2 linked regions of the Ovis aries genome follow. The protein of the gene in region 1 purifies or fractionates together with the protein of each later gene. This does not show direct contact. Links are inferred from orthologs where the notes say so. Each region holds a gene or a part of one and is shown on either strand. Other genes may lie near its edges. The genes, in order: SDHAF1 and SDHB.

Region 1 (3,196 bases):
GAAATTAAAAGACACTTACTCCTTGGATGAAAAGCTATGACCAACCTAGGCAGCATAGTAAGTAGGGACATTACTTTGCTGACAAAGGTCCATCTAAACAAAGCTATGGTTTTTCCAGTAGTCATGTATAGATGTGAGAGTTGGACTATAAAGAAAGTTGAGAGCCAAAGAATTGATGCTTTTGAACTGTGGTGTTGGAGAAGACTCTTGAGAGTCCCTTGGATTGCAAGGAAATCAAACCAGTCAATCCTAAAGGAAATCAGTCCTGAATATTCATTGGAAGGACTGATGCTGAAGCTGAAACTCCAATACTTTGGCCACCTGATGCGAACAACTGACTCATTAGAAAAAACCCTGATGCTGGGAAAGATTGAAGGCAGGAGGAGACGGGGAGGACAGAGGATGAGATGGTTGAATAGCATCACCTACTCGATGGACATGAGTTTGAGCAAGCTCTGGGAGTTGGTGAGGGACAGGGAAGCCTGGCGTCCATGAGGTGAGAGGAGACGACTGAGCAACTGAACTGAACTGAACTGATCGACTCCCAGACTCAGGCCCTCTCCTCAGCCCCTGACTAGCCTAGCCTCCTGCGGAAGAACCCATGACCAGATGTGCGGGGGCGTGGTCGCACGCTGGGCGGAGGGGTCCCGGGTTATCGTTGCCTGGTTCCCCACGCTCCGGGTGCCGGTAGGTGCTGGTAGGTGCTGGTAGGGTGCTGAGCGGGTCGTGGCCTTGCGGGCCTCCCAGCGCTACGAGGACGCCTCCGAATAGCCTGCGGGAACTATAACGGAATTGCAGCTGACTACCTGATACTGCCTGCAGGTCTGCGGAGTGCCAACATAGTCGAAGAGTTCCTTGTGGGCTGGACTCCGCTTCAACAGCTAGGGAGGCCCCTCCCTCTCCTACCCTCAGATCCGACTCACGTCGGCAGAGAGCGCTACCGGCCCAAACAGGCTGCGTTTGGGGGCTTATAGCCCACGGTATATTCTCAGCACCGAGAGGCTTGTTCTGCCGGCTGTGACCCAACACTTTACCGGGTATTCCTCTCCCCAGGGGTTGGGGCCTTCGATGTACACTTGCTCTGGGAGTGGGGACTCACGGAGCTTCCTATGGTTGCTTTAATAAATGAGGATAAACCCACGTGTGTGCCCGTCTTCTCTCTCCCCGTGCCCCCAGCGCTCTGGGGAACACAAGGACCCTAACCTCTAGCTCTCTCCACTCGCAGGACCCAAGAGTCAGGTCAGGATCCCCTGGTCTCTTCCGACCCCAAACCTAAGAGTCTCAGCGTCTAGCGTCCTCCTCCTCCAGGCCCTCAGGAGTACCGTCCTCTCAAGGACACTGATGTCCAGTGGGGCGGGCCAGTGAACCATTAGCTCCGCCCCTTACTCACAACATTGTGACGTAGCAGCAGCGACGACCTATGAGGCGCGACGGCGCCGCAAAGCTGGGAGCGGGAGGCGGAAGTGCCTGTGGCGGTGTTTCACCGCTTCTGCCGCCTGTTCCCGTGCGCCGCTCCGTGCCCCGCGGCCCAGCTGCTGCCATGAGCCGGCACAGCCGGTTGCAGAGGCAAGTTCTGAGCCTGTACCGCGAGCTGTTGCGCGCCGGGCGCGGGAAGCCGGGCGCCGAGGCACGGGTGCGGGCTGAATTCCGGCAGCACGCCTGCCTGCCACGCTCAGACGTACTTCGCATTGAGTACCTGTACCGCCGCGGTCGGCGCCAGCTCCAGATGCTACGCTCGGGCCACGCCACGGCCATGGGTGCCTTCGTCCGTACGCAGGACCCGACCGAGGAGTCCAACGGCGCGGGGGCCCCAGGGACCCTGTCCAATGAAGGTGACGACCGGAGGAGACCGCTAGACAGCATAAGGACACCGAAGACCCCGCTGGATGGACGGTGACCGGCTGAAGGGCTCTGCCGATGGCTCAGGGGGACTGGAGGACCGGGGGAGCCCCCCGATGGAAAGTGAGAGGTCTTGAGAAACTAGATCGACAGATTGAGGTAGTTGAAGAGCTCTCCTGGGACGTGGGGTGCGATGGCGAGAAATGCCCGGCTTTACTTGCTGTATGGTACCGGGTCAGACTTAACCAATGAGGCTTGGGGCGGGCTGTCAAACTAAAAGCTGCTTACCCTAAGGCCTGGGGAGCCAAGACGCCCCGCTGTTGGACGGAAAGAGACTTGACACGCCCTTGTCTAGAACCCTGAGAAATACCACTGGCGGCTCCTCAAAGAGACTCCTCTCTCCTGTACTTAACTCTGAGAAGAGCAGATGAGGAGGAGTTTGGGACGATGCCCTGATGGACTGGTGAGAAGCCTGGAAACCCCCTCAGAAAAATCTTTACTCCACTGAGACCAACTGGGATTGGTGAGGAAGGGGGTAAGGGGTTTCTCACCCCGCTAATCAGTTAAAGACCGCCTTAAGACCTCTGCATGATGGTTCTGAGGGTGAAACCTCCCCCTCTCCACCCCGATTCCTGCCCCTTTCCCTGCTCAGGACTGTTGGACAAAAAGGCAATAAAATGGGGGTGTGCTTACTTCCCTGTTGGTGGTGGTAAAGATTTGATGTGTTTGGGGGATTTTGGGGGTTATCAAGAAGTGACCCTCTGGCAAGGGATGGGTGTGGGGAACCCTCTAGAATGGCAGATTGGTTGGAGCAGCATAGTTCTTTCTCCTGGGCAGATCCATGGAGGGAAGCCACCCTGGTTTGACCCCCAAGGAAGCCCCTGTTGACCCCTTAATGGGGGGTAGTGAGGCGGAAGAGGAATGGTGGGGCTGAGGAGGCCTGGCTGGTAATCCCTGCAGTAGTAGTGGGACCCTCAAACCTTGCTAAGGAGTCCAGCCTCAGCTACAAGCTGGAACTGTTAGCAAGGCCTAGGGGTGGGAAAGGAGAGGTGGACCCATAGGCCACAGACATAGCTCTTCGCATGCCCCCACAGGGACGTGCCCTAGACATTCCCTGAGGTGCTGCGTTTTGTAGCCCTCAGCTGTATTTGCACCCATTAAAAGCAGTTGAGAGGAGGAGGACCTCAGGAAAGGAACTCAGAGCTCAAATCAAAGGTAGGATGCCCTGGCATGCCTGCTGCTCAGTTGGGTCTGACTCATTATAACCCCGTGGACTGTAGCCTGTGAGGCTCCTTTGTCCATAGAGTTTTTTCCAGGCAGAAATACTGGAATGGGTTGCTGTTTCCTACTCCAGGGG
Region 2 (4,557 bases), on another chromosome or scaffold:
CTCCAGAGAGTTAGGCTGAATGAAGCCCCCCCCAAGTTAGAGAAGAGATGATTACATTATATAACTTTTGTCCAGTGACCGGCTTATAAAAATGTAGCAGGTTAGTAATTGCTGGGGGTGGAGGAGCGGGGACGGGAGGGCTGCGGGGCCTGACTGTGACTGTAAAGGAGCAGGTCCTTGTGATGACGGATGCGATGCTCTGCACTCGCGGCCGACCCTGTGGCCCCGTGGACCACACAGTCCATGGAACTCTCCAGGCCAGAATACTGGAGTGGGCAGCCGTTCCCCTCTCCAGGGGATCTTCCCAACGCAGGGATCGAACCCAGGTCTCCCGCATTGCAGGCAGATGCTTTACCAGCTGAGCCACAGGGAGGCCATACCTGGACTATATCGGGGTTACATCGTGCTGTAGTTTCGTGCATGGTCATCACTGAGGGAAATCAAGTAAAGGACAGGTGGGAGCTCAGGATTATTTCTTACAAATGCATGGGATTCTACAGTTATTTCCAAATGAAAGGTGTTAACTTAAAGAGCAGCAGTCTACGAGTATATGCAGCAGCATGAATGAATCTCAGAAGCGCTTTGTGGAGCAAGAGAAGCCAGGCCCGCAGTGTGTGACCTCACGGTGTTTATATGGAGTTCTGTCAGAGGCAGATAGATCTGCAGTGATAGAAAGCGGTCAGTTGCGGGGGGAGGGAGAGGGCGCTGACTGCAGCGGGCTTTCTTAATGGGGATGTTCTGCTGTGATTGTGGTAGTGGTTATACAATTTCATCAAAACTCGTCAAACTGTGCACTTAAAATTGGTGAATTATAATGAATATACCTCATTAAATCTCACAGAAAAGAGTGAAGAAGTGAAGTTGCTCAGTCGTGTCCGACTCTTTGCAACCCCATGGACTGTAGCCTACCAGGTTCCTCCGTCCAGGGGATGTTCCAGGCAAGGATACTGGAGTGGGTTGCCATTTCCTTCTCCAGGGGATCTTCCTGACCAGGGATCGAACCCAGGTCTCCCCCATTGTAGCCAGACGCTTTACTGTCTGAGCCACCAGGGCAGTCCCCAGAAAGGGTGGGGGTAGGGCAGTTAAGCAAGCAAAAGCTTGCTGGAGCTAATACCTGCAACCGGGAATTCTCGGCAGTCTAGTGGTTAGGACGCCCCTTTTCACTGCGAGGGCAGAGGTTCTGGGCTACTGAGGTCCTGCGCGCTGGCAGACACCGCCAAAAATGTCAAGAGTCTGTTCCCCTCCTCTGAGTCACCACAAGGTGGCGTTAGCCAAGCATTCCTGACATTTCACAAAATGGAGCCTCCAGTTGGAACGTGTTCATTTGCAGAAGTGACTTTCCTTTTTCCAATGATCCTCACCAGCTTGGTGATTTGATGAAATACAGCTTTCCTCTTCACCGTCACCTTCATTTTCTTCATACGTTTTCTTCCCGTACTGAGGGTCGATATCTTCAGCTTTGTTTAATTTGGGCTGGGTTTTGCCAGCCAGTAGTAAACTCCAGTGCATTTCTTGTAATTACTGAGTGAACCTTAAGAGTTTTTGCTTTCTTCAGCAGTTTATAAGAGAGTGAGCTGGCCTGGAATGTAGCTTGAATCTTGCCAAGTACTCTCTGGACTGGCAAGACCCTCCCCTCCTCACAGCCGCAGGAGAAGCCCGCAGGACTTGTGTGGCCTCTGCTTTGTTTTGTCTGCCTAAATGCAAAAGGGCTTCAAGGACGAGGGGACGGCGGCGGCTTGGCATTCGTTGTACGGGAATGCCACAGACAGAGGGGTACTTTTATTTCTTAATGGCTTGATGTAGGTTGCACTGTTCAGCCTTTTAAGGTACATTCAGAATAAACCACATTTTTGCATTATTCTAATGCTCAGTTTTTGCCCTTTTCTTCAGTCATTCCTAACCATGGATTGAACTGCTGTATGCAGGGGCCTGGACCAGGTCTGCTGGGAGACGGGACATGTAGGGCTCCATGCTGTCACGCGCTCTGTATCGACTTGACTGGGCCCAGACCCTTGGTAGGATGTTTCTCTGGGTGTTTCAGTGAGTGTTTTTGAATGAGTTTAACATTTTAATTGATAGATTGACAGAGGAATACAATTATTATATGATGCAATTTATATGTGGAGTCTTAAAAATAAAGCAAAATGCTGAACAGAACCAAAAAGGAAGCGGAACAAACATGGCTACCAGCGGGGGGCGGGGAGGCGGGGGGCACAGTCTGATGGGCGGGAGACGGGCTCAGGGAGGCGCAGACAGCACGGGGACTGTAGCCAGTCTCTTGTAATAACTGTAGATGTGAAGTAAGCCTTAAGATTGTATCAGAATATTTGGGGGAATTCTCGGTGGTCCAGTGGTTAAGACTTAAGGCTTTCACTGCTGAGGACCCGGATTCAGCCCTTGGTTAGGGAACTAAGATCCAACAAGCTGCACAATGTGGCCAGAAAATATACTTTTTAAAAAAATTTAAATTGTTTAAAAGTTGTTAATTGCGTTTAAGAAAATAGGATAGACTGAGTGAAGCATATTGCGCTTTCTAACACGGGCGGCCGTATCCGGTCGATTGAAGATACCGATAGAACAAAAAACTGGCCCTCCTTCAAATCAGAGGAAGCCCGTCTGTCAGGCTGGGATATTGATTCTTCTTCTCGCCTTTGGACTTGAAGTAACAGCTCTTCCTGGGTCTTGAGCGTGCTGGCATCTGAACTGGGGCTGCGTCATCGGCTCTCCAGCTTGCCCATTGCGGATCTTGGGGGTTGTTATCCCCATAACCACACGAGCCAGTTCCCCGTAGGCACGTGGGCCGGTTCTGTGTACTAACCCTCTTTTCACACTCTGTGTGTGAGTGTGTGTGTGTGTGCGTGCGTGCGTGCGTGCGTGTGTGTGCGTGCGTGCGTGCGCGGGCACACACCGTCGGTCCTGGTTCTCTGGAGAGCCTGGCTGATACACATGCCCTGGAGGAGTCAGGATGTGAGGAGAAGGAAGCGGCACCAAGAAGAGGCCTGAGAAGACGCCCAAATGAACAGAACCGTGTTCAGGAACGTGGGCTCTGGAGCCAGACCTGGGTTCCAGTCCTGGCTCCGCTGACCAGCTCTTGATTGTGGGCCCATCACTTGACCTCTGAGCCTCATTTGCTCGTCTTTAAAAATGAAGATCCAGTGGAGTCATTAATATAAAGCATTTAATACAGTGCCTGGCAGTAATAAATAGTGGCTTTTAAGATGAGGGTAAATTTAAACAGAAAACTTTTTGAGCAAAGCACCCTTTTTGCAAATACATTTTTGTGGGGAGGCTGCTCTCTTGGAGGGCGGGAAGCCGGTCCCCCTTACCACTGTCGTCTCCCAGCAGCCCCCGGCGGCGCTCCAGGGCCCCGTGGCGCGCATGAGGCCGACTGGCACAGACTGTGGACGCCCAGGAGCTGTGTTCAGAGCGCAGGTCTCTGCTGCTGTGAGTGCCCGGGCTTTGCCTTGTTCTAAGATACGGTATGCGTTACCTGGTCTCCTCTGCTGCTGTACAAAGCCGTCCTGCTGCGGGCGGATTGTGTTCCCCCAGAATTCATACGTAGGACCCCCGATGCCCAGTGTGATGGTACCTGAACCTGGGGCCTGTGAGAGGGAATTAGGGTTAGATGAGGTCATGAGGGCAGGACCTGTGTGGTGGGTCACTGCCCTCATGGAGAGAAGGAGAGACCTGAGGTCTCTGCGGCAAGTGGAGGTGGAGCAGGATGCAGCCGTCTGTCCTCACTTGGACACCAAAGCGGACCTGCTGACACCTGGCTCTTGGACTTCCCGCCTCCAGAACCATGAGAAGTAAATGTCTGCTGTGTTAGCTGCCTAGTCTTCGGTGTTTTTTTTTTTTTTACAGTGACTCAGGCTAAAATACCTAATTGAAACACCAGCGTCTCTCTTCGATCACCGCAGTCGCTTTCTAACTGGTTTCCCTAGATGTCATCTGACGAGTCTTCCTTTGTAAGCCAGTGGTGGTCTTCTCAAAAATAAAATGTCATCCACCTGATAAATTTTTGTTAGCTTCTCATTGCTCTTAGGATAAGATCAAAACTTAGAAGTCTTTCTTGCCTTCCTGGAGCCTGCCCTGTCTCATCCCGTCTCAGGTTAGCCTTTGCACAGTGGACGTCTCTCGGTCCTCACAGGGGTCTGTGCCCTCCCACCCAGGCCTCTGCACATGCTCCTTCAGCTTCTAATGCCCCTTCTCCTTGCCCTGCACCCCTAGTCATCAAGCCTCAGCCTAAGTATCCTTTATGGAGGCCTCCCTGGCCACTTAGACCAGTGTGAATCTCCGCTGCCAGGCCTCCCTCGCTGTATTCTATTATGAGTGTTCTGTCTCTCGTCTTGCTTGCTGCACACTGGTTTCTGTGAGGGCAAAGGCTGTGTGTGCTTATTCAGCGCCATTTCACCAGCCCCCAGTGCCATCGCTGGCATGGCACAGTTGCTTGGCGCCGTCTGTTGGATCTTGAAAGACTGTGTCAGGAATAGGCGAGTTTGTATCCAGTATTGCAGTTTATAGTGCCAACTAAGTAGAATGATTTATCTTGCATTTTTA

What was found.
Region 2: the proteins of SDHAF1 (region 1) and SDHB purify together in Homo sapiens (co-immunoprecipitation; 3 studies listed by BioGRID and IntAct, with this or other methods). This does not show direct contact. The link is inferred for Ovis aries from reciprocal best matches to the Homo sapiens genes SDHAF1 and SDHB.

Annotation. Positions count from the first base shown.
Region 1 is NC_056067.1:45,972,765-45,975,960, forward strand, and holds SDHAF1 (succinate dehydrogenase assembly factor 1, mitochondrial), read left to right. Parts: upstream 1-1,446; 5' UTR 1,447-1,540; coding exon 1,541-1,897; 3' UTR 1,898-2,531; downstream 2,532-3,196.
Region 2 is NC_056055.1:249,224,015-249,228,571, forward strand, and holds the start of SDHB (succinate dehydrogenase [ubiquinone] iron-sulfur subunit, mitochondrial), read left to right. Parts: upstream 1-1,721; 5' UTR 1,722-1,919; coding exon 1,920-2,015; intron 2,016-3,342; coding exon 3,343-3,444; intron 3,445-4,557. UniProt on the Homo sapiens protein: Iron-sulfur protein (IP) subunit of the succinate dehydrogenase complex (mitochondrial respiratory chain complex II), responsible for transferring electrons from succinate to ubiquinone (coenzyme Q).